Linked DNA regions of Stegostoma tigrinum. The protein of the gene in region 3 purifies or fractionates together with the protein of the main gene of each other region. This does not show direct contact. Links are inferred from orthologs where the notes say so. Each region holds a gene or a part of one and is shown on either strand. Other genes may lie near its edges.

The links.
Region 1: the proteins of gsk3ba (region 3) and prune purify together in Homo sapiens (affinity purification with mass spectrometry; 5 studies listed by BioGRID and IntAct, with this or other methods). This does not show direct contact. The link is inferred for Stegostoma tigrinum from reciprocal best matches to the Homo sapiens genes GSK3B and PRUNE1.
Region 2: the proteins of gsk3ba (region 3) and cAMP-dependent protein kinase type I-alpha regulatory subunit purify together in Homo sapiens (affinity purification with mass spectrometry; 3 studies listed by BioGRID and IntAct, with this or other methods). This does not show direct contact. The link is inferred for Stegostoma tigrinum from reciprocal best matches to the Homo sapiens genes GSK3B and PRKAR1A.
Region 4: the proteins of gsk3ba (region 3) and myosin-9-like purify together in Homo sapiens (affinity purification with western blotting; 4 studies listed by BioGRID, with this or other methods). This does not show direct contact. The link is inferred for Stegostoma tigrinum from reciprocal best matches to the Homo sapiens genes GSK3B and MYH9.

What each region holds. Positions count from the first base shown.
Region 1 is NC_081400.1:4,160,976-4,168,966, reverse strand, and holds the start of prune (exopolyphosphatase PRUNE1), read left to right. Parts: upstream 1-4,983; 5' UTR 4,984-5,049; coding exon 5,050-5,088; intron 5,089-7,991. Other genes in the region: putative PIP5K1A and PSMD4-like protein, read left to right, coding at 1-122. UniProt on the Homo sapiens protein: Phosphodiesterase (PDE) that has higher activity toward cAMP than cGMP, as substrate. Plays a role in cell proliferation, migration and differentiation, and acts as a negative regulator of NME1. Plays a role in the regulation of neurogenesis.
Region 2 is NC_081375.1:22,779,353-22,786,728, reverse strand, and holds the start of cAMP-dependent protein kinase type I-alpha regulatory subunit, read right to left. Parts: upstream 3,018-7,376; 5' UTR 2,816-3,017; intron 2,728-2,815; 5' UTR 2,699-2,727; coding exon 2,528-2,698; intron 1-2,527. UniProt on the Homo sapiens protein: Regulatory subunit of the cAMP-dependent protein kinases involved in cAMP signaling in cells.
Region 3 is NC_081365.1:34,870,956-34,877,901, reverse strand, and holds the start of gsk3ba (glycogen synthase kinase-3 beta), read right to left. Parts: upstream 3,020-6,946; 5' UTR 2,457-3,019; coding exon 2,369-2,456; intron 1-2,368. UniProt on the Homo sapiens protein: Constitutively active protein kinase that acts as a negative regulator in the hormonal control of glucose homeostasis, Wnt signaling and regulation of transcription factors and microtubules, by phosphorylating and inactivating glycogen synthase (GYS1 or GYS2), EIF2B, CTNNB1/beta-catenin, APC, AXIN1, DPYSL2/CRMP2, JUN, NFATC1/NFATC, MAPT/TAU and MACF1.
Region 4 is NC_081391.1:3,547,390-3,555,159, reverse strand, and holds the start of myosin-9-like, read right to left. Parts: upstream 3,011-7,770; 5' UTR 2,839-3,010; intron 1-2,838. UniProt on the Homo sapiens protein: Cellular myosin that appears to play a role in cytokinesis, cell shape, and specialized functions such as secretion and capping. Required for cortical actin clearance prior to oocyte exocytosis. Promotes cell motility in conjunction with S100A4.

The DNA.
Region 1 (7,991 bases), on a different chromosome or scaffold from region 3:
GCGTGTTGGAGAACCTGCCTGGCGTTGACCCAAACAACGAGGCCATTCGGAACGCCATGGGCTCCCTACAGTCGCAGACCTCAAAGGATAACAAGAAGGAGAATGAGGAGGAGAGGAAGTAGAGCTGGGTTGTCCCAGTTGATGTGAATGGAGAATTCTGTCCATACAGTGATCTGCATGTTGCTGCTCCAGACAAACTGGCCTTACAATACGATGAATATCACATTCTTTAGCAGTGGTTATTGGCTGCAAGCAGTAAAACATTGCGCGTGAAAATCTCTATCTCTTGACCCTGGTTGGTAGCACGGTGTGAGTTTTTTGCTTTGGAAACAGGACATTAATAAAATACACAAAGACCTCAGTTGTACTTCGAATTTAATTTGAGTCTGTAACTGAGTCCCTGTGTATGTGGCTGCACAGACATATCACTGAGAAGGGGTTGCTCAGTGTGACATTGCTCCGTTCTAGCCTTCTCATTGTTGGGAGATAATGGTCCTTCTTGTGTATAACTAGTTATAATCAAACTGTTCAGACATGCAGTGCTGCGTAATAAAAACTGAAAGGACTGTGGATGCTGGAAGTCACAAACAAAAACGCAAATACCTGGAAAAGTTCAGCAGCATCATTGGAGAGAAGTCCACGTAAACAGTTCAGGTTCAGCAACCCTTCCTCAGGACTGATGCATGTCCGGGCCAGGTGGGACTTCAGCCTAGGCCTTCTGGCCCAGATATTGGGATACTTCCACTGAACCACAAGAGCTCTCATATTGGGGTTTACCCTTTGTTTTGAGTACTGCTACAGAGATTACTATGGGAAAGAGGTGCCGGTGGCAGCCTATTTAGTAAGCAGATACGGTAACCACTTGCAAGTGATGCCAACCATGTGATACACAGGATTAGAAGCTGACCAAACCTCACTGTCTCTTAAAACATCTCCGTTTGTGTGCGTGTAAGAGAAGGGCAGGTTAAACTGGGGAATGAAATCATTGGTGTTAATGGCACAAGGATAGAACGAAACCACCGACCAATGCTCGCAAGTGCTGATCTTGGTTAAGCCACCAGAGGGAGACATTTCCCCCCCCTGCCCTCAAGCCAGGGAGCGATTGCAGTCTGAGACAGGTACCAATGCTTCTATTGAACAAGGGCTCCGGAAAGGAAGACCTGGAAGGCCTTCCTGCTTTCAAGGGTCAATGAGATAAGAAGTCACAGGCTGCTGAGTCAGAAACTTGTGACTCTGTGACCCTTTCCAGAGAGAGGCTCATGTTCTCATGCAGTGCCAAAGGGAGCGGCACACGATCAGGCATCTAGTTTGGGGCAACGAAGATGTGATATAAACAGAACGCTTTAGAAATGGGTGCTATTGATATTGCTATTTCTGGAGCAGGCCAACATTCTTCGCCCATCCCATGGTGCCCTTGAGATGGTGGTGGTGACCTGCTGCCTTGAACTGCAGTTCACTAAAGATGGTGCATCCACAGTGTTGTTAGAGAGAGGGCCAGGATTTTGACCCAGTGACATTAAAAGAATGGTGAAATAATTCCAAGCTGGGACGGTTATCTGAAAGGCAAATTGGGTTATTGGCAGGAGGGAGGGAGCGGAATGGCAAGAAGTGAATTGGTCATTCACAGACAGTGTACAAACATGAGGGGCAGGACAGCTGTTTTCGGTGCTGTGACCCCTCTGCGATTCTGTAAATGTAGAAAGGACAGCAGATCAAATACCTCAGCTCCTGTGGAGAAGTTGGGATTGGAGAAAGACAGATTAAATTTCGACAGACTGAATAACTGGCAGGAAGGTGAAGCACGAGGGAGATGTTGAAATGTTTGTTTTGATGTCACGAGTTGTGGTCTAGAACTCACTGCCTTGAAAGGGTGGTGAGAACAGATTCAACAGGAACTTTCAAAACTAGATACTTGAAGGAGAACGGCTTGTTTTACCCGAGTCAGCTTTCAAAAAGAGCTCCTCTATATATCCCATTCTCCCACTGCTCTCTTTCCACAGCGCTGTAATTTTGTACCCTGTTAGTTAAATATTAATGGGAGCTTTCTAAGTGCAAATTAGCTGCTGTGTTTCCTATTTCACAGCACTGTGAACATTAGCTGTAAAGTGTTTTGGGATATGTCATGAAGTGCAATTTCTTTTCAGTGACTCAGTGGTTCGCACTGCCACCTCATAGCACCAAAAACCCAGGGTTTGATCCCACCCTTAGGCAACTGTTCTCCTCCTGTGTCTGTTTCCTTCCACAGTCCAAAGATGTGTAGGTTAGGATGGACTGGCTATGCTGAATTGTCCATTGTGTCCAGGTTAGGTCAATTAGTGATGGGAAAAGCAAGGTTACAGGGATAGATAGGGTAGGGGTGTGAGAATAGGTGGGATATTCTTCAGAGAGGTGGTGTGGACTTGATGATCCGAATACATTCTATGGTTCTTTCCATGATAATTGGGCTCCTTGTTCCTCACAGAGGAGTACAGCTCCATCGGCAACAGAGAGAATGGGAAACACAACCAGACTGGAAAGGCACAAAAACAGAAGTTGCTGGCAAAGCTCAGCAGGTCTGGCAGCATGTGTGGAGAGAGAAAGCAGAGTTAATGTTTCGGGTTGAGTGACCCTTCCTCAGAACTCTGATTTCTCTCCACAGATGGTGCCTGACTTGCTGAGCTTTTCCAACAACTTATACTGACAGGAAAGGCTTTGTGCTTCAATATTTCCAGGCAAATCTAGGTCTGTTTTGCCGAAAAATGCTCATGGGTCTGAGGGGCATAGATTGGGAGACTATTTCCCCCTCCATCTGTAATAAACTGGTCAATAACTAAAGGGTTTTAAAGGTAAGAAGCAGAGATTCTGCGAGGACTTGAAGAAAATAATTTTCACCCAAAAAGGGTTGTGAATTTGCAACTTGCTGCCTGAAAGAATGGTGGAGCCAGAAACCATCACAACATTTCAGATGTGTTTTAGATGAACACTTGAAAAGCCATGAATACAAGGCCCAGTGATGGAAAATGAGATAGAATATAGTTTTTTTTTTAAAAAAAACTTGGAAGAACTGCAGATGCTGGAAATCTGAAAGAAAAACAAATTGCTGGAAAATTTCAGCAGGTCTGGCAAAATCTGTGAAGAGTCAGAGTCCTCCAGCACTGAAACAGATCGTTCAGTCCAAGCCACACATAATCCTAACTGCTTGCGCTTGCCCCAAATTCCTCCAAACACGACTTATTCATGTACCTATCCAAATGTCTTTTAAACATTGTAATTCTACCCGCATTCACCACGTCCTCAGGAAGTTCATTCCACGCACGGACCACCCTCTGTGTAAAAAAAAATTGCCCTTTTTTTTTTAAATCTCTCTCCTCTCACCTTAAAAATGTAACCCCCTAGTTTTGAAATCACCCCTTCCTAGGGAATGGACAACTCCCAGTAGCTATATATACCTCTCATTAGATCTCTGTAAATCCCCTCTGAACCCTCTCCAGTTTAATAATATCCTTCCTGTATCTGGGTGACCAGAACCAAATACACAGTACTCCGGAAAAGGCCTCACCAACCTCAACATGACTTCCCAACTCCTATCCTCAGAGACTGAGCAATGAAGGCAAGCATGACAACCACCCTGTCTATATGTGACACAAACTTGAAAGAATTATATACGTGTGCCCCTAGGAGCCTCTGTTCTATAACACTAACCAAAACCCTACCATTAATTGTATAAGCCCTACCCTCGTTTGTTGTACCAAAAGGCACTTATCCAGATTGAACTCCATCTGCCATTTTTCAGTCCGTTGACTCAATTAATCAAGATCCTTTTTGTAATCTTAGAAAACCTTCTTCACTGTCTATAATGCCATTTGATGTTATCCACAAACTTAGTAACCATGCCTTCTAAATTCTCATCCAAATCATGTATATAAATGACAAACAAAAGAGGACCCAGAACCAATGCTTATGGAACAAGGGTTGTCACAGGCCTCCAGTCTGCAAGGCAACCCTCCACCACCACGCTCTGTCTCCTGTTGTTAAGCCAATTATATGTCCAACTGGCAAACTCACCCTTAATCTTGTGACCTAACTTCACTAATTAGTCCACTGTGTGGAACCTTTTTGAAGGCTTTACTAAAGTCTAAATAAACAACATCTACTGCTCTGCCTTAATCAATCTTTTTGGTAACTTCCTCAAAAAACTGAATCAAGTTTGTGAGACATGGTTTTCCTCACAAAATAATGCTGACTATCCCTAAGCAATTTTTGCCTCCCTGAATGTTCATTAGTCCTACCTTTTATAATCACCTACAACAGAAGTCAGACTCAGATATCTTTAGTTCCCCAGTTTCTCCTTACAAACATTCTCAAACGAAAATACAACAGCAGGCACCCCACCCATGGTTATAGATGATAAATATTTTTGCAGGGGGTCTCACAATTTCCTTCCAACAACATTCTGGGATACATTAGATGAGATCCTGGAGATTTATCTACCTTTATGTTCTCTAACATCTTCTGGAGAGAAAGCAAAGTTTAACGGTTCCAGTCCGTTTCTGAAGAATCCAAAACATAGGTGTCAGTATTGAAACCAGACATTCACCCTGCTTTTCTCTCCAAAGACCTGCTGAGCTTTTCCAGTAATTTCTTTTTTGTGCCCCCGACCGAAACATGGTGGATACTCCGGTGTGGCTCAGCAACACGTGTAATCATTGATAATAAAATGTGAGGCTGGATGAACACAGCAGGCCAAGCAGCATCCCAGGAGCACAAAAGCTGACGTTTCGGGCCTAGACCCTTCATCAGAGAGGGGGATGGGGGGAGGGAACTGGAATAAATAGGGAGAGAGGGGGAGGCTTGCCTGCACCCCACCGAAAAGAAGAGTAACTTATTCAAATTATAGCATTTGGTTTTGAAAAGAACAATTTCTCATTCATTCCGACTTTGAAGGTCCTTAAGTTCCGGGAGGGACAGAGCGAGGGGGTGGAGTTAGTGAGCGCTTGCGCAGTGCTGCCGGAATGTATCAAACTGTGGCTATGTATCAATTGTGAAGGGCCGCGTTGAAATTGACTGGACATGGAGCCTTTCCTTAGGGGCTGTATAACCACTTTGGAGGTGAGTCTGGCTGGGTAAGAGTGTGTGTCCTTGTTTCGGGAAAGTGGGCAGCTACTCTTACACTACTGTCATACGTTTCGCTCCTGTCCCCCTTGCAAGACTTCTCCATCCCCTCCCCCTTTTACGACCATGCAGATAGGAAGATTACCAAGTGTATTTAGCTCTGAGTAAGGCAGGCGTTGGAGAAACTTTACCCTCTCAGTCGAGTAGCTAAAGGAGGGCAAGAATTTTCACGCAAGGAGCAGGAGGGTATTTGAGGAACGTTTTCCTTTCATCCAGAAGGTGCTGGGTGTATGTAGAACTCACTGGTCCACAAGGTGGTACAGGCTGGACCCCTCGCAACATTTTAAGAGCTATGCAGGTTATAATTTAAAGAGCCAAAGCAAACAAGGCTTGGGGCAAACTGGTGGAAAGTGGGTCTACAGTAGGTAGGTATTTCTTGTACAGGTACAAAATGTCTTAGGTTTGTTTGTTCCTTCATCTGCTGCAGTACAGAACCGAACTGGTTTAGTGCCTATGTATATGTACAGATATTTTTATGAATAAAGTATATTTTTCAAATTTAAAACAAACTTGATGGAGAAGTACGGACCTGGTTGTCTGAGAGACTCTATGACCCAGTGCTGTGGTACACCCTCTTCACTCCTTTATTTGCCCTCTGTTACTGCTGGTGTTGTGGCACCTGCATGTGCCCACCTCCCCCGACCCCCCCCCCCCCAATTCCTCCCCCGACCCCCCCCCCCCCAATTCCTCCCCCGACCCCCCCCCCCCCAATTCCTCCCCCGACCCCCCCCATTCCTCCCCCGACCCCCCCCCCCATTCCTCCCCCGACCCCCCCCCCAATTCCTCCCCCGACCCCCCCCCCAATTCCTCCCCCGACCCCCCCCATTCCTCCCCCGACCCCCCCCCCATTCCTCCCCCGACCCCCCCCCATTCCTCCCCCGACCCCCCCCCCATTCCTCCCCCGACCCCCCCCCAATTCCTCCCCCGACCCCCCCCCCAATTCCTCCCCCGACCCCCCCCAATTCCTCCCCCGACCCCCCCCCAATTCCTCCCCCGACCCCCCCCCCAATTCCTCCCCCGACCCCCCCCAATTCCTCCCGCCGACCCCCCCCAATTCCTCCCGCCGACCCCCCCCAATTCCTCCCGCCGACCCCCCCCAATTCCTTCCCCCCCCCAATTCCCTCCCCCCCCCCAATTCCCTCCCCCCCCCCAATTCCCTCCCCCCCCCAATTCCTCCCCCCCCCAATTCCTCCCCCCCCCAATTCCTTCCCCCCCCCAATTCCTTCCCCCCCCCAATTCCTTCCCCCCCCCAATTCCTTCCCCCCCCAATTCCCTCCCCCCCCAATTCCTCCCCGCCAATTGCTCCCCCCGACCCCCCCCATTGCTCCCCCCGACCCCCCCCAATTCCTCCCCCCGACCCCCCCAATTCCTCCCCCACCTCCCCCTGCCGAATCCTCCCCCCCCACCCCCGTCCCCCGCCCCCCCCACCCCCGTCCCCCGCACCCCCCCCACCCCCGTCCCCCCCCTCCCCCCCCACCCCGTCCCTCCCTCCCCCCCCCACCCTCACCCCCCCGTCCCCCCCCACCCTGTCCCCCCGTCCCTCCCCCCCCCAACCCCTTCCCTCCCCACCCCCCGTCCCTCCCCCTCCACCCCCCGTCCCTCCCCCTCCACCCCCACTCCCCTCCCCACCCCCACCCCCGCTCCCCTCCCCACCCCCACCCCCACCCCCGCTCCCCTCCCCGCTCCCCTCCCCATCCCCGCTCCCCTCCCCACCCCCACCTCCCCCCCTCCCCTCCCCACCCCCACCTCCCCCCTCCCCTCCCCACCCCCACCTCCCCCCCCTCCCCTCCCCCCCCTCCCCTCCCCACCCCCCCCTCCCCTCCCCACCCCCACACCTCCCCCCCTCTCTCCCCCCCTCTCTCCCCCCCCTCTCCCCCCCCCTCTCCCCCCCCCCTCTCCCCCCCCCCTCTCCCCCCCCCTCTCCCCCCCCCCCTCTCCCCCCCCCTCTCCCCCCCCCCTCCCCCCCCCCTCTCCCCCCCCTCTCTCCCCCCCCCTCTCCCCCCCCCTCTCTCCCCCCCCCCCTCTCTCCCCCCCCCTCTCTCCCCCCCCCTCTCTCCCCCCCCTCTCTCCCCCCCCCTCTCTCTCCCCCCCCCTCTCTCTCCCCCCCCCTCTCTCTCCCCCCCCCCTCTCTCTCCCCCCCCCTCTCTCTCCCCCCCCCTCTCTCTCCCCCCCCCTCTCTCTCCCCCCCCCTCTCTCTCCACCCCCCTCTCTCTCCCCCCCCCTCTCTCTCCCCCCCCCTCTCTCTCCCCCCCCCTCTCTCTCCCCCCCCTCTCTCTCCCCCCCCCTCTCTCTCCCCCCCCCTCTCTCTCCCCCCCCCCCTCTCTCCCCCCCCCCCTCTCTTCCCCCCCCCCTCTCTTCCCCCCCCCTCTCTTCCCCCCCCCTCTCTTCCCCCCCCCTCTCTCTCCCCCCCCTCTCTCTCCCCCCCCCTCTCTTCCCCCCCCCTCTCTTCCCCCCCCCTCTCTTCCCCCCCCTCTCTTTCCCCCCCCTCTCTTTCCCCCCCCTCTCTTTCCCCCCCCCCTCTTCCCCCCCCCTCTCTTCCCCCCCCCTCTCTTCCCCCCCCCTCTCTTCCCCCCCCCTCTCTTCCCCCCCCCTCTCTTCCCCCCCCCTCTCTTCCCCCCCCCTCTCTTCCCCCCCCCTCTCTTCCCCCCCCCTCTCTTCCCCCCCCCTCTCTTCCCCCCCCCTCTCTTCCCCCCCCCTCTCTTCCCCCCCCCCTCTTCCCCCCCCCTCTCTTCCCCCCCCCTCTCTTCCCCCCCCCTCTCTTCCCCCCCCCCACTCTCCCCTCCCCTCCCCTCCCCCCCCCCCACTCTCCCCTCCCCGCCCCCCTCTCTCCTCCCCCCCAG
Region 2 (7,376 bases), on a different chromosome or scaffold from region 3:
ACTGTGAATGGACTATAATGGTTCAAGAAGGCAGTTCATCATGACTTTCTAAAAAGAGTATTTATAGATGGCCAATAAGCATTAACTTACAAATGACACCCACATTCTATGAGCACATTTTTAAAAAAACATATCTATACTTGGGATTTGTCTTCCAATTAGCAATGGATGTCAAGTACAAGAATTACTCCTCTGCAACAACTTATTTTGCAAACTTCCAGTTCAGTGTCATTCTGAAGTAATTCAGTTTTTAAATGTTTGCCTTGGCTTATCTTTCTCAGTCTCTCAAATCTTTAGCACCAGTCAAAATGTTATTTTTTTTAAAAAGCAATATGCCAAAAATAAACACTCTTTTGCTGGTACAAATAAAAAGTATTAAAGCCTCCCTCTTGACTCAATTCAATTCTTGAGAAATCAGCTTCACTGCCCCTTTTGCTACAATCATGTCCTTTGGAGCTATAGTGTTCAAAAATTATCAGGATATACTAAGCCAACCTCAGTAATACATTATAATGCCCTTAATACTGAACCCCACTCCTAGTTGGTGCTGCTGGCTACATACTAAAAATGGGAATTTCTGAAGATTCCCCAATGATTTTGTTCAATTTTGAATTGAATGTTTATTCCTTTAGAATTCCCCAAAATTTTAAATCTAAAATTTTAAGTAATTTAAAATTATTTTGTCATGCTAACTTTGTTCATCAATTCTAATAACTCCCAGCATTTTTAACAAATTTGACCTACTTTATAATCAGCTAACCTATCTGCAAACAAACTGTTCTTGAAAGAAAAACAACTAGTCAGAAGTGGCACTGTTTTTAATTAGATTTATAAACAAATCATTGTCAATTTAATCAATCTTCATCTATCCACCAAGTGACATCTAGTTCAATCGTAAAACAGGTAAATGACTAAGCAATGTTAAAACTAATGTAATCCGAACTTTTGCTAAAAGCAGCTCAATATTCTATACATGACAATCACACTACACAGGTTACAAGTCATGTATCAATTGTCAAACGTGTTTGATTTTGTCCAGAACCCAAAGTAAAAAAATACAAATTATGTACTTCCCTATCAACTGAAATGATGATATTTTAAACAAGCGAATTTTACTGGCCAGTAATATTTAACAGATTTTTCTACATGTCTGAAATTATACTGGGTCACTTTTTAAGAGGCTTCAGAATTTCATTCCCTTCACAAAGCTTTAATTCTTGCAGAAACATTGCTGATAACATTGTGCACAAAATATATAAAAGAACCCACTTATTTGATTATTACTTCCTTCCCTACTTTTGAAGAAACAAAGTATTTTCACAAAGTATGCAAAGCTCTGCCACCCACAGCCAAAGTGCTTATGCCATCTTTAAAGAAAAACCAACGTAGTCCATATGATAATGATACAGCCATAGTACCAAGTTTCAGGATTTTGACTCAGTGATGAAGACAGACTGGTATACATCCAAGTCAGAACAAAGCACGATTTAGAGTGGTGAATGTTTACAACGATGATGGGATGTTTTGTGCATCATTGAGCTCCAAGTGTTTTAACAGGCACATTCATATCGACATGCAGAGTATTCCATACAGCTCCTGATTTATGCCTTATAGGTGGTAGAAAGATTACAGAGTGAAATATTGCTTTCGGTGAATAACAACACTTCGCATCACTGAAGTAATATCATTCTCTTGTTAGTGAAGAATTATGAATTAAGTACAATTTACTATTACTCATGCAATCTTTATTCAGTCATAATCAGATGACAAGGGGCAATATATAGATCCGAAATTAAATGGAAACCTTGGAGGCCACACTATGTGCATTTTAGTGGGGGGGAAAGAGGGAGGGAAGAGAGAACAGAAAAGACAGGAAGAAATTTACTGGATAGACAAAAGAATGTGAATACATCTAATTACTTCATTCAAATTCTGGGAAATCACAAGATGATGCAAAGTGATTTCACATTTCTAGCAACCCACGATTTACCTAAAGCGTTCTGACGTCAATGTTGCAGTCACCAATGGCCCTCGAGTGTCACTAGTATTTGGAGCAAAACTGCAGCCATGAGCATAGACTATAGGAAACTGATTACCTTGAATGTCCAATACTTTTGCACCAAGCTAAACAGGTGATTTCTCTGTCCGAAAAAGACTTTTTACATTAATCTTTTTCAGCGCGCGGGTACTCACCTTCATGAAACCGAGAATGTTGTTAACAATCAAAGGACTCACTGATAATATCTTAACAAGTGCTTACATTCTGCTTGGCTTTGCTTTTGTCTCTGGTCCGTTAACTGCTTAATAACATATGCACCAAACACGAACAAAACTCTTTTCTAGGTCAGCACTAAAACGTCGGCCTGCCACGTTCGCCATCAACCAACTACAGAAGCTTGATCATACACGAAGCAAAAAAAGTCAAACTGTCCTTTAATCGTCAACCACCACACGCCCCAAACAAAATAAACAAGGCTACTCTCTCCTTTCCTTTGAGAAAATGAAACCTGCTGCCCTCTCAACTCACTTTCTCGAGTTTCTCGAAGTATTCCCTGAGGTAGGTGATGGGTTTCTCGGGCCTGGCGATGCAGAGCTGAACGATGCAGTCCTTGAGGACCTGCTGGATGTTGTGCTTGTGGACATACTGCTCACACTCTCGCAGGCTGCGCTCTTCTTCCCCGCTCCCCGCGGCCGCCATCTTAGCCACCCAGTTAACGCTTCAGAAGCCTGGAGGAATGATCGACAGCGAGTTAACTCGGCGCCGAGAGACCACTCGCCGCCTACTCCTCCAATCCACCCCCTTCCTCTAACCTACCCACCCCACAGAAAACGAAGTCGACAGTCGGAGCGGGAGGGCGATGGGCCTGTCTTTTCCGCCCCCCCCCCCACCGATCCTAGGGGCGACAGGCTGAACAAGTTTATCCGTAGGAACAGGGGCCTGTTAGAAAGCGACTGCGGCAGGACGAGTTTCCTCAGTCACTGTCACCTCCACCGGAAGGCAGCCGCGCCGCTGACGTCAATGCGCCTCGCTCTCAGCCGCGGTGGGGGAGGGGAGGCGGAAACCACAGGCCTGTGGAAATGGTATGTGCAGTGTGTTGTATGCACATACACGGGACACCACACTTGTAACGCGCACATTCCATGTTTACACGCTGCACTCAAGCATTCACTCTGTACCCTCACAGAACCAACGTGCTGCTACCCCTGCACGTCTCTCACTGTTTACAAATTTCACGAGGTTGGGGATAAACTGACACACGCACCGCGTAGGTATTTAAGCAAGCGTAGGCCCTTGAGCCACTCTTGTACACCATTCAAGGACATCACGGCGGATATGTCACTGGATTCTTCAAATGCCCACCTTCAACCCACACAGTCGATTAACAAAAACGTGTCAGGCTCAGATTTTAAACTAACAAATAAAGGAGCAACAGTTGTCACTTGCGAGGAAGAGACTTCTCCCATCTCTCGCAGTCCTGAAAGGTCAGATTCGTTTTCAGTTGAAGCCCCCGATGCGACACTTTCCGACCATAGAAAGTCTTTCTTTCTTCACTGTAATATCTTGAAAATTTCAATCAGTCATAGCATAACAAGGTGTAGGAACACAAGTTCATTCAGCCCAAGTCAGCTCTGTCAGTTCGGTGATGACTGATCTCATAATCCTGAACTCCAGTTTTCTGCCTTTTCCCCTATAACACTTGACACTCTTACTAATTAAAACGCTATCTCAGCCTTGAATATACTTAATGACCCAGCCTCAATGGCCTCTACAGTAAAGAATTCCACTGAATCATTACACTCAGAGAAGAAATTCTTCGTCATCTATGTTTTAAATGTGTGACCCCTTATTCTGAGGTTAAATGCTCTTGTTCTCGACTGTCTCGGGGCAAACAACCTTCCTGGACCTATACTGTCAAGTCCCCTAAGAATCTTGTAAATTTTAATAAGGTTGCCACTCATTCTTCTACATTGCAAAGAGTACAGGCTTAACCCGAACGGTCCTTTGGGAAATGATTTCTAGATATCCATATCAAAAATTAACATACATTGACATTTTCTTTCAATAGATATTTCACATCCAATGAATTAGTCACCTCTTCATAAATTACTAGATCATCAAGCATAATATATCCATTATAAAGCCATGCTGCTGTGGTCAATCAGCTGAAAATTTTGAAGGTGTTCAGTCATCATCCTTAACAGCTGACAAGTAATTTTGAGCCAATGTATTTAGGCTAACTGACCTATAGTTCCCTGGTTTCCCTCTCATAAATCTAATTTTACAGTCCAAAAATAGGACATCCTAAAGCGGTTTACAAGCTGAAATATTGGGATCATGAACTCCAATGCAGAAAGACAGTTGTGGAGTTCTGACCAAGTTATGACAACTGTACACATGTGCTCCAGTTCCAATAGTTCTTCCTAAGGAGTCGCAAAAACATTCAGGACATAAAAAAAGAGATCACAGGAAAAGAAAGATTGGTAAGCATTGATCTAAAGAAGCAGAAATTGAAGACCATAAGACATAGGAGTGGAAGTAAGGCCATTCAGCCCATCGAGTCCACTCTGCCATTTAATCACGGCTGATGGGCATTTCAACTCCACTTCCCTGCATTCCCCCCGTAGCCCTTAATTCCTTGTGAGATCAAGAATTTATCAATCTCTGCCTTGAAGACATTTAACATCCCAGCCTCCACTGCGCTCCATGGCAATGAATTCCACAGGCCCATCACTCTCTGGCTGAAGAAATGTCTCCTCATTTCCGTTTTAAATTTACCCCCTCTAGTTCTAAGGCTGTACCCATGGGTCCTAGTCTCCCCATCTAACGGAAACAACTTCCCAGCGTCCACCCTTTCTAAGCCATACACTATCTTATAAGTTTCTATTAGATCTCCCCTCAACCTTCTAAATTCTAATGAATACAATCCCAGGATCCTCAGCTGTTCATCATTACGTTAAACCTACCATTCCAGGGATCATCCGTGTGAATCTCCGCTGGACACGCTCCAGTGCCAGTATGTCCTTCCTGAGGTGTGGGGCCCAAAATTGAGAGAATTTTAGAAAACTGTTGGTGGGGCATTTGCAATGTCCTCACCTACTTCACAGAATCAGAGAATTGTTAAAGCGCTGAAAGCAGGCATTCAGTCCATCATGTCAGCACCTACTCTTCAAAATACTAGATAAGAATTTCATTTAAAACCCTGGGATAGAAATTATCTGGTGTAGTGATTGTAATCAGCCAGCTGGTCCTTATAGAATATGACTTCTCTGATCGGGCTGTTAATCTGGTCCAATCAGAGAGGCGTAGCTGACAGATAAGAACCTGAATATCAGACATCCTATTCACTCAGGGCAAATTCTGAGGAATCTGGATCTGTCTCAAGGGTTCTCCATGTGTAATTAAAAGATGACTTAGTGATGGGATACTGATAGCTGTGGAGTTATTTCATTATTTTATTTGATCTATTATTTTCTTCATTACTGTTATTTTACTTACACTGTCTTTCTCATAACGCAAATGATTTTAAAAAGTGCTGGTTTTGGTAGGAGTAAATTACTGCAGGTGCTGGAATCTATACTGAAAACAAAAAATGCTGGAGATCACAGCAGATCAGGCAGCATACATGGGGAGACAGCAAACTAATGTTTCGCATCTAGATGACCCTTCAGCAGAGCTGCTGTGAAGTGTGAAGGGAGCAGCATTTATGCAATGTTTGTGGGATGGTGTTTGCAGTGCTGAGGAAGAAAGGGTATTGATAGTACAAATTAAGTGGTTGGAATGTGAGAATGGCTGAACAATGGTGTGTCTAACTGCCAGGCTTTACAATGTTTTGGACTTAGTATTGAGTTAAACACCTTCTCTGATGAAGGGTCTAGGCCCGAAACGTCAGTTTTTGTGCTCCTGAGATGCTGCTTGGCCTACTGTGTTCATCCCTCTTCACACTCTTTCAGATTGAGAACCCACTTCCATTCCTTTAATTCTTTTAATTTTACATTATTTGTGACCATGTCCTCTCTCCCATCCCCCGACTCCAGTGGACTGTTTGTTTTTCCAGTCTGCCAGCAAGAGACAACTTCAATCTGCCATTCTCACATTCAGATCACTTAATCTGGATTATCAGCACCCTTTCTTCCCCCAGCACTCCACATCGTCCCCTTCCCCCCACCTAATGCATAGATGCTGTCCTGTCCACCCTTCACATCAACTCTGCAGAAAAGTCATCTCGACACAAAACGTTGGCTTGCTCTCACCATGGATGCTACCTGACCCGCTGTGATCTCCAGCATTTTTTGTTTTCAATGCTGTTTTGGTATCCCTTGCAAATTTCTTTTCATACAGTATTTTGTAAATTTTACAATTGATTTTGCCACTCTTTGCTATTCCTAAAAGCTCTTCCAATCAACATGATTTTTTTTTGCATTCCTGTCTTTAGTTTTCTTTCAGTTTTATGTTGTCTTTTGCCATTTGAGCTTCATATCCCTTAGGAATATAAACTGGTTCTATATGACATTAAGTTTTTTTTTGAATGCGATTGTTCTGTCTTTCTAAATATTTAACAAATTTGCCCAATTTACAGGACCTTTGGGACAAGCTTATTCAGGTCCTGAGTCCACACCTACCGCTCCTAGCCCAGCCAGCTCACTGCTGAGTTGGCATGACACATTCCTCCATTGCGTCGTTGACCCAGAGAGAGAAAAACACATTAAAAAAAACAGTAATACTTGGAAATGAATACATTGATCATACCGGAGCACTGTTCCGAGGTACACAAAACAAGTTAAATCAGTATGCGTCATCTACAAAATTAAAAGAAAGATCTGCAGATGCTGAACAGCTGAAACAAAAACAGAAATTGCTGAAGAAACCCAGTTGTTTTGGTAGTATCTGTGGTGAAAAAGCTTTCTCTCCACAAATGCTGCCAGACTTTCTGAGTTTCTCCAGTAATTGCTGTTTTTGCATCAGATTTTACTGCAGTGTTTCCTTTTGGGCAGGACCAGATTTTTGAAGAGTGTGGTTCACAGTGAATCAGATGTGACACGAACAATAGTCTGCATGAAGGAATTTCACTAGATAAGCTAATAAGTTCCTCCTTAGGCCACCTTGCCAAGGTAATGATCACCAAACATCTTGCATGGCCACTCATGATTTCCAACACTAAGTGAAATCACCAAACACTCCACTTAGCTCCTCATTTCTCATTGCCAAAGTATAGCACTTCCAAGTTCAAATAATACTGTATACCAAAATATCTCACACCAAGTGCCATTCAATCATACTTGTCTATGACAAATAGCCTGCAACTTTAAGTTCAGATCTTCATGTTTAAATAAAGGCTCTGCCCTCCCCATGTCTGAAATAGCTAATTATGCCATAT
Region 3 (6,946 bases):
GACCGGGTGCCGGGGGGTGGGGGGAGAAAGAGAAGAGACAAGGGGGTGGGGGGGGGTTGGGCGGAGAAGGGAAGGGACGTGGTGGTGGGCTGGTGAGGGTGAAGGGCCGGGGTGGGTGAGAAGGAGGAGGTGGAGAAGGGCCGGGGGGGAGGGGAGGAAGAGAGGCTGGTAGAGGGGGGAGAGGAGGAAGGGGGCCAGGGCCGTGGGGAAAAGGCAAGAGCATTGGGTTAGAGGTGGGCAGGGCAAAGGCAGAAGGCTGGAAGGGAGATTATTTCAGGGGTGTCAGGAGGTGGGGGTGATGAGAGAGGCGGGCAGGTGACAAGGCAAGTGGGCAGGATGGAGGGTTGTGGGGCAGCATGGAGAAGGAGAAAGTAGAAACAGGGAGTCTGGGACGAGAGGCCTGGGCGGATGGTAGTGGGAAGAGGAGGAGGAGAAGTGGGGATGGGGGTAAGGACTGGGGAAGGAAGGGTGGAAAAGGATAGAAAGGAGGAGTACGGACAAGGAAAGAGGAGGATGGGGAGTCCATGGAAGCGCACCGGAGTGAGGTAGCACATCATCAATCCTTCACGATACAGAGCAACTGGAAAATGGCCATTTGTCAGCTGCCATAGGTAGCTCAGATTTTTAAAAGAACAGATAAGTGTTCAGGTAAGTGTTCAGATAAAACTTTTACATTTTGGTGATGACTCACATTAAGTTTGCTATGTGAATCTGTACAGTAGCAAAACAGTATAGAATTATCTTAGCCAAGCCTATATAATTCTGTCCTCACTCAGTACCTGCACACAACAGCTTACAACAGAGGAAAACACATTCTATGGCAGAAAGCCTGACCAATTTCCCCCTCCTATATGATGGACTGAAGTCACCAGTAGCACAATAATTGCTGTCTTGATCGAGGTCAATTAATTCGCAGACACGATGGATCAAAGTTGCAATTTCCTTGGTTGCATTAACTTAAATGAGGTATTGCAATTTTAATCAAATAAACTACATAATGAACTTCTTACAAACAAAATAAAAGGCAAGAGATGGGCCCTTAACAATGTTTTGTGCTGAAAATGAGAAGTACTGTCTTTCCACAGCTATGCCAATTCCTTGATATGTATGTGATAGAATAACATTCAAAGAAAGCCTTAAAACAATCTGACTAAATCCGAATATACAAAATAGATTTACAACAAAAAACAGAATAGCTTCACAAAAGTAAAACTACAGCATACCAATTTAGCCTTATCCAATGATTCTTGAAGTTTAGAACTCATTGTGTCAGGATATTTAGGATTTTTATTAAAAAACAGTTTATGAAAACGTATGCAAAAAGTAATTTGTCATACCAATTTCTAAATAAGGCCTATCATAAAAACATTGTAAAACAGCACAAATCGTGCAAAATTTTGCACATTTCCAACAGTACAGCTAGCTTATCACAAATTCTTTCATGTCTGCCCTCAGTCGATTGACAGTAGCAACTTTAGGGATTGTCCACCTCCAGTAGGGATGTCCAAGTATTACTATTGTCTCATCACTTCATTTAGTCAACCTTCTTCCCTCCACTTCTTTGCCCCACTTGTTTGATATTTGTGAATTCAGAAATGTCAGGAGTGTTTTGGATGTACACTAGATTCTGCATTATTGTCACAGACATGCACATACAGTTATAACTATATACAACATACTCAGTAATTATGAAAACAAGATAGTTAGTGTACGCCACTAACATAAGTTTTACACTAAAAAAGTAATCAACTATTTGGTAGAACCAACAGTTACAAATTATGCTGTTTCTATATTTTAAAAAATGCATCATTTTTAAATGAGTTAAAATCAAAGTTGACATGTTGAAAGTACTAATTGCACACTATCACAAATATGCCAAATTCCTAAACATACCACATCTCTGCTTAACCTGATGGACACGCAGAGAAAAAGCTAGAAATTAATTTCCATGTTCCATTTCTATGTCCACTGGTTATACAATGAAGTTATTCTAATATTTGTGCCCTTCAGAAGTTGTAAACTCCAATTCCAACTCATGATAATTATATATGTTAAATTAATATCAATAAGCAATTACAGAGTTAAAAGAATCAGTTCACAATTACTTTATGCACATTTCTAAGCAGATTAAAGTTTTCCGTCTTTTCCGATTTCAAATCGTTTGTTACCAGGAATCCTTTCGGCCATAAGCAGACCATCAGGCGAATCATTTCCAGTCTGGCCTACATTTTTTACGATTAGCACTGACTGTTAATTAACAAATACCACAGGTCAAGAAATCGTTCGATTAACAATGTTTTCAGGGGTGGGGGGTGAAGGTGTGCAAGATTCTAAATAAAGGAAAATGATTTAGATATAATGTACTTACTGCTGACTTTCATGCTCCCAAAAGCAGACGGCTGCTGCACAGGTTTGCAGCTCTCAGCAAAAGACGTTGTCCTGGGTCGACCACTCATGATTACTTTAAAGCGACATCTAATTTTTCAAACATATATTTTTTAAAAAAAAGACACTTATATTCCTTTATTTTCGATCCCCTCTGATTTTTAATCCTGTCCACCTGGTTTCATCGCGCAAATTTCTCCTGGTCAAATTATCTGTCTTTTTAAAAAATATTTTTATAATAATCGTCAGAAATAAATCTGAAATGATTTCAAAGGTCTATATTGATCTTGACCGAGCTCAATGCAGGATGGTGGTGGTGATGATGATGGTGGTGGTGGTGGTGGTTCCTGCCATGGCGGCTCCTTCAGTTCAATTCAATCCTGAGGTAATTTTTTTTCCTTTTTTTTAATTTCTCGGCTTATTTTTTCAGATCTTAATAGCCCAGTCGCATCTCTGTTAGTACACGGAAAAAAAATAAAACAATGTCTGAGGGAAAACCCGTGGTTTTACCCCAATTAAAACGGTTAAAACCCCTCCCTAATTCACTCGGCTGTCTTTGTACTTTTTTTGCCTATCTCTTTCTCCCTCTCACTGCAGCTGTAACCTCCTGGTCAATCTAACTTGATGCCGGGGCGCAGTGATTGATGTGAGAAAAGAACCATTCACAGAACGCGTCAAAGACGTAAGCATCGCCTAGGGCGATGCGGAACCAATCGGCGAGGGGGTGTTGCTGGAGGTGTTTATCAAGTTCGGTTGACTGATAGCGACGGGGAAACGGGCCGACAGCCTCGGTTTGCCCTTCCCCCTCTTCGTTTGTGTTCGCCAGCCAATGAAAGCACGTCGTCGGCAATAAGGAGCGGTGACGGAAAAGCACGAGCTCCGCGAAGTGCCAGTGACGTTGGCCAACCGGAACCTGACGGAAAAATCTGACGACGAGCGTTGCCTGTGATTGGAAGTGTTCGAACGCATTACAGGGCAACTGGCAGCGACCTCTAGCTTGGAGGAGCGGCTGGTACGATTTAACCGACAGGTGCAGCTTATATTTCAGACAAGGAAATACTTACGTATACAGAACCTATCAGTAATTAGAATCAGAATAGCAAAAAAGAACAAAGGCCAGTGGTAAGTAATATATAGGCAATCTGTTCTAGAAAATACAATATTTTCTTCCCTCTAATATTTGAATTTATATGTAAATCAGCTGCTGAACTCTGCAGTCATAGCTGAACAACCTATGATACCCGAGAAAACGGTATCATGGTTCACAAGTTTTATCGCTTTAAGGCTGATTATGAACGTTGGGCAGTGATTTGAATGGACCTTGCCCTCTGTTGGAGTAAACCAGTCACGCCTGGTGATTAGTGATCTATTCCACCAGTCATAAGTTAAATGGACAAGATGTACTTGGCCCTAGGACAGACTACTATTGATTTCCAAGTAACTCATTTGCTGAAGAAATGATTGTGATGTAACTACAGAATTGGTCTTGCTTCAGACAGTTAGAAAAGTATCTGCAAATTTGTAACTTCTATCGGTAATGTTAAATCTCTCAAACATTTTGGGGGGGCAGAAACAAAACATGTATCTTCAGGAACATCTTATCAGCAAGTGACTAAGTAGGAAATTGGTGGACTCTAGATTTGTTTTTGACAACCTCTTTTTCTAAAACTCAGTTTTAAATCTCAGATTGAAATTCAGCACACACAATTATGACAAAAGTAGCAGAGCTTGTCAATAGGTTAGATTGAGATTTGAATTGCCACTCAAGTAAATAGACCCTTGATGGTACACATCTTGAGATTCATTTGGATCAGCAATGAAATTCATGTGATGAGAGTGAGGCAGCTTTGACAACAGAGGTCTGAGGTTTCTGGCATGAACCAAGCAAGATATTTTGTTCTTTCTGATATTGAACTGAGAAAATTGTGATTTGTATGGAACTTAGTTTGGACTCTACTATTGCAGTTGTACAAGATGTTGATGAGGCCATATTTGAAGTAATGTATGCAGTTCTGGTCACCCTACCATATTAAATTAGAAAGAGCGCTGAACAGACTTACTAGGATGCTACCTGGAGTGGAAGGTTTGTGTTATTAGGAGAGGTTGGCTAGGCTAGGAAATTTTCCACTGGCATGTAGGAGGCTGAGGGAGTGACCTGATCGAAGTCTATAAAATCATGAGCGGCATCAGTAAGGTAGATAGACAGCTTTTCCCCATGATTGAGAAACCTAAAGCTAGAGGTCATATATTTAAGGCGTGAGGGGAAAGATTTAAGAGTCCAAAGTGCCAATATTTTTTCAGAGTGTGGTGATTGCCTAGAATAGGTAGTGGTGGAAGCGAATACAATTGTCATTTAAGAAATAGTTAGGTACATTGCGTGGTGGCTCAGTGGTTAGCACTGCAGCCTCGCAGTGCCAGGGACGTGGGTTTGATTCCAGCCCCGGGTAACTATCTGTGCACATTCTCCCCATGTCTGCATGGGTTTCCTCCGGGTGCTCCGGTTTCCTCCTACAGTCCAAAGATGTGCAGGCTAAGTGGATTAACCATGCTAAATTGCCCGTAGTGTTCAGGGGTGTGTGGGTTGTAGGGGGTGGGGATGGGTCTGGGTGCGATTGTCCAAGAGGCAGTGTGGACTTGTTGGGCCGAAGGGCCTGTTTCCACACTGTAGGGAATCTAATCCAATCTACGTGGACGGAACAGGTATGGAGGGATATGGACCAAAGGCAGGCAAATGGGATTAGTTTAAATTGTGAAAACTGAGGTCCATAGGAAGATTGGGCGGAAGGGCCATAGACCTCTGACTCTGGCTGTTGTGAATTTGATTGGTGAAGTAATTGGTAAAATCATATAGCTGGTGAAATATTAATACATTTATATGATTTGAATGCAGCTTGTAAATGAATAATAATATAAACGAGCTAACAATAACTTGCTTAAAAAAGCAATCTGAGACAGAGTTCAGATGTTATAGAAAAATAGGACAGAACTGGATTATTTAGCATCTTGAGCCTGTTCCTTTTACAGAAGATAGACTGACGAGTTGCTATGCTTAAGTATAGGCCTAGGATGGAGTGAAACTGTAGAGATATATAAAGTAGATGTAGTTGAAATTGTCAGCTGTGCCAGAGGCTGGTTCCAAAGCAGGTTGTTAATCACCTTCGAAGAAAAAATATCCATATCTTAGACTTTTCAGTGAGAAAAGTAAAATGAGTAGGAGAAAATAAGAGATTACAGGTAAGGAAAACAAAAAAGGAGCACAAAGAAACTTTTAAAATGTTCTTAATGCTCAGAAGAAATAGTCAAGCATTTTACACTTATATCAGCAAATAAAACTATTATAAGTGAGAAAAAAGAAAATTTTGAGGATGATTGAATAGGTCAGAGGCATGTAATAAGTACAAAACTTTGATAACCATTTTTCTTTTAGGAAAACGTTACCAAAGAGGAGTGGTTACAGATAGAGATAAAAGACAGAGAATGACACTTACAACCCGGACTGAAGCCAGCATTTTAGTTTTCTAAATTTTTTATTTGCATGAAATTTCTGCTCAACCAGCCTGATAAATTAGCCACAGTGGAAGAATCAAGAGATGTGAGAGTGAGGCCAGACTGAGCATTGACAGTGTGAAAATTTGTGTGTTTTCAGATTATATCACTGAAGGACAGCATGTGTGTCAGAAATAGAGCTAAGAGTGGATCATCAGAGGACATTGGACATAAAAATGTAGGATAGCAAATGAGCAATTGCAGATGATTTCACTGGCCACAACTAAATAAGTAGAGCAGAACCAAACTCACTCAATGATGAAAGATTTGATTTGGTTTATTCTTGTCACGTGTACCTAGGTACAGTGAAAAGTTCTGTTTTGTGTGCAGTACATGCAGATCAGATCATAACATACTAAGATCACAGGATGATAGAACAGAGCAAGGAATACAAAGTTGCACAAAAAGCAAGATCAGCATTAGACTTGAAATTTGAGAGGTCCACTCTGAAGCCTAATAACAACAGGGAAGAAGCTGTTCTTGAATTTATTGGTACTTGTGCTTAAGCTTTTACATGTCCTGCCTCATTGAAAAAAGTTGGAAGAGATTATAACTGGGATGGGAGGAGTCTTCAGTGATGGCTACCTTTCTGAGGCAGCAAGATGTGTAACTTGAGTCTTCGGGTGGAAGATTGGCATGCATGATGATCTGGGCTGTGTTCACAACTTTCTGGAGTTTCTTACTGTCCAGAGCAGAGCAGTTGACGCACCAAGCTGTAATACATCCAGATAGAATGCTTTCTATGACGCATCTGTTAAAAAAAAATTGAGCGTGAACATGTGTGGATGTGCCGAAGTTCCTTAGTCTCCTGAGGACGAAGAGACATTTGCCTTCTTGACCGTCGCATCAACCTGGCTGGACCAGGACAGATTGTTGGTGAACGTTGCTTATAGGAGCTCAACGCTGTCAACCATCTCCACCTCAGCTCCCTTGATGTAGAAAGTGGCGTGCTCTCCTCCTTGCTTCCTGAAGTAGTTGATCAGCTCTTAAGTTTTGTTGATATTGAGGGAGAGAT
Region 4 (7,770 bases), on a different chromosome or scaffold from region 3:
ATATCATTAAAATTCTTTCCAACTTTTTAAAAAGTACTTCACATTTTTTGTTCTTCTGCTCCCTATGTAAAAGCTTTTCCAGAAAGAAACAAAGCAAGACAGTGCAAAGGAAACATGAAACATCCATCATGAACAAGTCAGAACACCACTCTACATTCTTAAGCACGCCACCACACCTTGATGCCCTAGAAACTTGGAAATCATGCAAGACAAAAAGGAGTTTGGACTACTTATACCTTGATCGTATACAGACATATTGTCACCTATACCTTTAGCTTTTACCTTCAAGGTATGCAGGTTTGATTTTTATAAATTACCAATTCTATTTTATGAAATATATTATATTATTGTTCCATTTGACTACCAAATTCCTTTTCCAAGTGTGAACATTCAGAAAAGATGATAATTTCTGCAGAAGTTAGTCCTGTACAAAAACATTATATTTAAATAGCTTAGAAATTTCAAATGGAGTATTTAGATTACTTTTTTCCAAATGATTTCATAAAGCTAAAGGAAGATAACAGAGTTAAAACTTCAATAATTACAAAATGTCCAAATGCCAAAACTACAAGATTTCAGTACCTTCTGAAATGCCATAGAAATGTCAAAAGTCCTTTGCCACATTTGAAAGTGACACGGTCTTTTTACTGCAGTAAATTATGGCTCAATTTATTAATTACTTATTCTCAAATAGGAAGCAGGGCAACCTCCCCATTGACAATATTGAGATTTCAGACAACATTTTGAAAGATACACTAACTTAAATGGACTAAATCTTATAAATCATGTAGATAAATAGTTTATTTGGGACTTTTAATATAATGAAGCATTTCAAGGTGCTGCACAGGAACAATACATACAAACTTAAACATCAAGCCACACAAGACATTAAAACAGACAAGAGGATGGTTTTAATAAAGCACCTCAAATAAATAAGACGAGGTTGGATGGGAGGAAGAAAAGGTACAGAAGAACTGCAGCTGAATGAGGGAATTCCACAGCTTAGGGCTCAGGCAGCCAAAGGCTATCAATTATACAGGGATGAAAAAATGGGGACACACAAGCCGCCAGAATTTGAAGAGTGCAAAAATCTGAAGCCTGTAGTGCTAGAGATCAGAGGTTGAAGGGAAAGAGATGGACTCAAAATTAAAGATGATAATTTTAAAATCAAAACATTGCAAAACCAGAAGTCAAATAGTTCAAACAGTGACAGGTGAGCAAAAGTTAAGCATAGAACATGAGCAACAGAAGTTTGGGTGAATGTAAATTTTATAGAAGAAAAGCTTGATCAATGTCACATTACTGGAAACAAAAGCATGAGGAAAGTGATCCTCAGCATTTCACTGCTGCATTATTCATAGTATCAGAAGAAAAACAACAGTATGCATTTTGGAAATATTCAAGCTTGTTTTGACATTCTTAACCTCTGTAAAAATGCATCCTTCACTAGTAGGCAGTATAAGCTACCAGGCATTTTGAAGCAATAACATTTTCAAATTCCAGAAAAGTTATAGTCAGCTAACGGGAAGGCTTTTGTAAGTTATCAGCACACTTCTCCATGAGTCATTCTTGACTTACATTACAGTTTTACACTTCGAACTGGGTGGGGCTTTAGTTCATGCAGAAGCCCTAAGGATTTGCAGAAGGTAAAGAGCTATCATATGGCAAAGCAGTTTAATGACCTCATTTGCAGTACTTTCAGGTAAATAAGCTGTACACCATCTAAACTTCTTCCTTTTAAACCATCATCTCCAAATTTGGGGAATATGTAATTTATCCAATTAACAATTTTTTTAAACAAAAATCTAACCATTTTAAAAGGAAGTATTCAAAGGTTATATTCTAGGTGCATAAGGGTGTTTTACTTAAACACAAATTATATAACCCACGTTTTCAAAGTTTCCTTATGCATTTAATTTTGGAAATGAATTGTTAGATATTATAACAGTAACATTTCACACCATAGTTTTTACTTGTCAGAAACAAGAAAGTCAATTACTGTCCTTAGGGTGCTGACAATTTTAATGATAATGGGATGGGCACTTGGGGAAAAGATTGAATTCTCCTCTCTTCAAAATTCAAAGTTTTATTTTAACTTCATAAAAGCAGCTTTTCATTACTGTCCTGGAACAGAACATAACTATGCAAGCTAAATGATACCAAAAATATTTTATATAGGACAATTGCGTACATAAGAGTGGATTATTCTGCTCTATATTAAATCAATGAAATGCCTCTCGCCAGCATTCCACGTCCCAGAGACGTAATCATTTTAACTGCTATCTTACCAACTAATTATTTTAGACTGAGAGAAAAATCACATTTGATTTTTTTTAAGAGGAGGCAGGGAGTTCATACAACCGAAGAAGCGGAAGCCAAGCCCATTTTTATAGTGGCTGGAACGCGAAAGGCGGTTTCCATGTTACCTGTCCCCTGATTAGCACGAGTTTGAAAATTACAAAAATGCATTAACAATCCAGCTCACACTAACTCCAAAAAACTCAATTCTTTTGCAGATTAAGGTAGTTTTTAAATTCGTCAGTAGAGTTAGTCGATAGAGCAAAGCTATCCTCTGAACTTTTTTTTTAAAAAGGAAAAAGTATTTAAATTTGATAGGAACGAAATTGCCCGTGGCGAGACAGCAGTGTGGAGCTGGAGGAACACAGCAGGCCAGGCAACATCAGAGGTGCAGGAAAGTTGACGTCTTGGGTCGGGAGCCTCTTGCCTGCGGCGAGCGCGCCGGCCCAACCCGGTGTCTGACTCTCTTCCTGGTTTCTCTCCCTTTTCCGCCTTAATAAATCGACCAAAAACAAGGTGCTTTTTCAAACTGTCGCTTACCTCCGAGATTCAAGTTTTTTTTCGAACGCTGTCGCCTTCCTGAATTATAATCTATAGAAATAGATGGACTTTGCTTATCGCTTTTTAATCCAAAATTTTAAAAATGCTGTCCGTCCGTCACGATTCACTGCTTCGCTCGAGCTCTCGAACTGCAGCTCGCGCACCAACCGTTTGGGCAGATCCCACCCGTGACGTAAACTTCCACCCCTGACCAATAGACGGGCGCCGTGCTAGTTGAGTGGCAGACGATATAACAAATAGCAAGAAAGAATCCCCCATCGTCGGGGCAGCTCCCTCTCCAACTGACTGATAACTCCTCCTACAGCGGCAAAGCCAGGAAAGTGGCTAATGCCGCAGTCATATGGAGTGATGAGGTAAGATTGAACGACATCTCGGTCGGCCAACGGAGAAGGACATTGAAGGAGGGGATGTGGTAAAAGCTCAAAATTGAAGGGATTGGTAGCTCCCGACTTGCTTAGCCTTAATTTTTATTTTATTTGTTGATGGGTATGTGGGCAAAACTGTTTGGTCCAACGTCTGCTGTCTATCCCTAATTGTACGGAGAGAAGTCAAGAAATAACCATGTTACTGGAACTTTGGAGTCACGTAGGCTTGACCAGGTAAGAATAAGAACATTGTTAAGAAATATTGAGCTATTCAGCCCATTGAAACTGCTCTCCAATTTAATGAGACCACGGTTGATCTGATAAACCTCAACTCCACTTACCTGCCTTTTTCCGAAAACCTTTGGTTCCCTTACTAATTAAAAATCTTACCTTATTCTATCTGACAGAACAGAATCTTCAGAAGAAGGATCCCGACCTGAAACGACAACTTTCCTGCTCCTCTGTTGCTGCCTGGCCTGCTGTGCTCCACTGGGTCCACACTGAGTTCCCTCTACCCACACACACAATTTTGACTGGAAAAAAAGCCAACCTTTCATTTGCCTTAAAAGTAAAACAAAGACAAAAATTGCAAATAATTCTGAAACAAAAACAAAAATTGCTGGAGAAACTCAGCAAGTCTAAAGCATCTTTGGGGAGAAAAACAGAGTTAAGGTTTCAAATCCAGTTATTCTGTCAGAACTTCTGCTCCAAATGTGTTTAATTACATCTCTGAACAAGTTGAATAGAAAAATCTCCAGTACTGCCCGTTTTGCACCACTGACCAAGATGAATATCCTCACATGTTCAATTGATTCAATCACACTTTCCAGTATAACAAAATTACAGACATCAGCATACAATTTAGAAATGCAGACTATTCTGAAGGTTCCCCTCCCTTTACAGAATCCAGTCGATTCCTAAATTATGTATGTTTTTTGCACTACACTACCTGGGATTCTATTCTGTATTAATATTTTTGTGTATATCATTACTTCTTGTTAACAGTCGTAAAAATACTCATTCTATCACATCACATCATATCATTTTCCCTGCAATTGATAACAAGCAGCTCTGAACATTCTCTGATAAGAAAGGTATTCAAACTGACGAAAGGCCATACCAAAGCTGCCAAAACAATTCAATAAGTGGCTGTTCAATGACTTGAAAGTCCAATGATTCCAAAACCCAAACGTCCCCTGATTCACTCTTGGTTTGTGTTGACTTATTTGATCATAAGCATCCTACAACTGACAGTAGAAGCACCATTTGAAAATTGAATAACTAACTAAACAGTGAATGAACACCACAACTGGTAGATCTAGGTTCTGTGGCATTTGATTTGGTCTACCATGAATTTAAATCAATATGCACCAAGTGGCAACATAGTCAAGTCCATTTCATTAATTTATTTTTCATGAAGTGACTGCAACAAGAAGTTTGTTAAAAAGTTGTTGTGGAGTTTTATGATCTTGATAGAATGATTGGAATGTCATTTGACCGCCCTGGAATCAAGAAAAATTAACTAATACTGCTTTAGCCACTGTTTAAAATTGCTAGTCATGGTCCATTTCTAGTCAGTGGCAACCCCCAGAATATTGATAGTTGGAGATTCAACTATGAATGATAATGCATCATGGGCAGATGGTTGAATTCTGTATTGTTGGAGATGGTCATTACTTGGCACTTGTGTATTGCAAATGCTCCTTTCCACTTATCAGCCCAAGTCAGGATCTTGCTGCATTTGGACACTGACTGTTTCAGTATCTAAGGAGATAGCAAGAACTGCAGATGCCGGAGTCAGAGACAATACAGTACGGAGCTAACAACAACACCTTCCAGTCACCAACCATTTTAACTCCTCCTCCCACTCCCTGGGTGACATGTCTATCCTGGGCCTCCTTCAGTGTCACAATGACACCACCCACAAACTGGCAGAGCACCACCTCACATTCTGCCTTGGGAGCCTACAGCTCAATGGCCTAAACACTGATGTCACCAGTTTTAAAATCTCCCTATGCCCGGCCTCATCCCGTGTCTAACCCTCCCTCTCATCCCCCCTCCTTGACCTGACACAATTTGTCGATCTTCTATCTACCCAACACATCACACCGACCAATCCCCCCACTCCCTACCTGCACGCACCTATCACCATCCCACCTACCTTCCCCAGCCCCACCCCTCTCTCTATTTCTGAGCTCCCTTGCTCCTTCCCATTTCTGAAGAAGGTCCTGACCCAAAACGTCAACTTTCCTGCTCCTCTGATGCTGCCTGGCCTGCTATGTTCCTCCAGCTCCATACTGTGCTACCTCAGTATGTAAGGAGCTATGATGGCTCTGAATATTGTGTAATCATCCATAAACATGCCCCTTTCTGACCTTATGATGAAGGGTGCATAATTGTTGAAACAGCTGAGGAATTCCTGCAGTGATTTCTTGTGGCTAAGATGATTGATCACCAACGACCACAGACATCTTACTTTACGTTAAATATGACTCCAAGTAACAAAGAGCTTTCCCTCTGATTCCCATTTGGCTAGGGTTTCTTGGTGCCACACTTGTTCAAATGTTGCCTTAATGTCAAAGGCAATCACCCTCACTTTCCTTCACAGGTTCATCTCTTTTATTCATGTTTGGACCCAGCCTATAATGAGGACAGTAACTCAGTGGGCCAGACAAACTGAGCGACAGTGAGTAGGTTATTGCTGAGTAAGTACTGCTTTGCTCACTGCAGGTTACACCAGGTGAATATAGCAAATTTTCCCAATCCAAAGGGCATTCATGAACCAGATGTTTTTGGCAATTACTTCATGCTTACCATGAAATTAGCTTTTAGTTCCAGATTTATTCACTAAGTTCAAGTTGAACATTGTTGGATTTGAACCCATGTCCCAAGAGCTTTAGCCTAGATATCTGGATTACTAGTCTAATGACAACACTAGTATATCACCTATGATATTGATAGATCATCCATCTCCCCATGATCTTTTTCAGATAAATAATGTTGTAGGATCTCTCCATTCACATAAAAATACAGATCAGACCTTAATTGCTGATCTAAAATATAACATTTCCAACAATGCAGCACTCTCTATGCCTTTTGAAGTATCAGCTAGATGATATGTTCAAGCCCAGGAGCAAGCTTTAAGGTTGAAGCCGCTGACTTAAAGATGAGAATCAACTGAGCTAAACTGACCTCAAAGAAAGAGAAATCCTGTCCTGAAACTATCTGTCTGTAGTAGACAGTAGTGTATCACTCCCTGATGTGATATTAAGAAGATGATACACACATTGCTCCTTTCCTCCTATTGGCACCGGAGTAGGATGCTTCAGCAGGAGGTCATCCACTCTATCCATTTCTTTCCTATTTCTTTCTCTTTTTTTTCTCTCCTGGTGTTTCTTTTCTTCACACGCGGCCTCAATGCAGACCCAGTGAGGTCTCCTCTCAGCCTCTGGCAGTCTCTCGGCTGAGTCTCTTGGTGGCCCATGGCAGTTTCTCGGCCCAATGTAGTGGTGCCTTGGCCCCATCTCTCAGCAGCCCATGCTGGTTTCTCAACCTAGTATGGCAGTGTCTTGGCCCCGTCTCTCAATGGCCCATGGCAGTCTCTCAGCTTGGCATGGCAGTGCCTCACCCTGGAATCTCGGCCCAGTGTGGCAGAATCTCCCCCCACCCCACCAATGTGAGGGACGCCATAGATTGGGTAGTCCCTGTACTCCTAATCTTCTGGCATTATTGCTACAGTGGAAATCCAATTCTTTTCTTCCCTCTGCACAGAGGCCAGTAAAATCAACAGTAGTATCACTCAGGTTAAGATTTGCAAACTATTTGGGATATTTCTGGTCTGTTTAGATCACCTATTCACTGTTTTCAGAAACTGAGTTATAGCAGGAGCCATGTACTATCTGAGATGAATTACCTTACTCCCATACTGCGACTGTGGACATCACAAGTAACATGCATTAGACAAGGTAAGATCAATTACAGATATATTAAAAATATTGAAATTGCTCATTTTTTATTGTTTACTTAATTTTCCCTGTTGCATTCCTCCCTTTAACCTCCTGAGGCAAGGGAAATTTACTAGGTTACTTCACAGCTGGGGATAGTAGAGTTTGCTGTGCATATTAGAATCTCTGCTATCTGATGTGGTACTTTGGCGTAAGATGGTGTTTTGGGAGTCTGGATCATATTACTTCTCATATAAAGGCAAGCCCCTGAGAATTATAGTTTGAAAACTTAAGTCCCCTTTGGGCCAGAGACCTCAGAAACAGCGTAACTAAAATATGTTTATATTTTGTGTCATTAAAGGAGCAGTTTCATCCAGAGGGTAAAAGCAATATGCCTTCAGTGACTTGCCTGTTTGACCTGTTTTGTTTTCTTCCAGATATTTTGTCGCAGGTGTAGCTTCACAATAGTGATGGGATCAACTGTCTGGATCTTAGACTGTAGCATACCCCTCTAAATGTCTACCTCGTCTCTTCTTTTAAAATATATTTCCTTTAAATTTTCCCAATTTGTCTGAGCTTTTTGGTCACCTGTCCTATTGTAT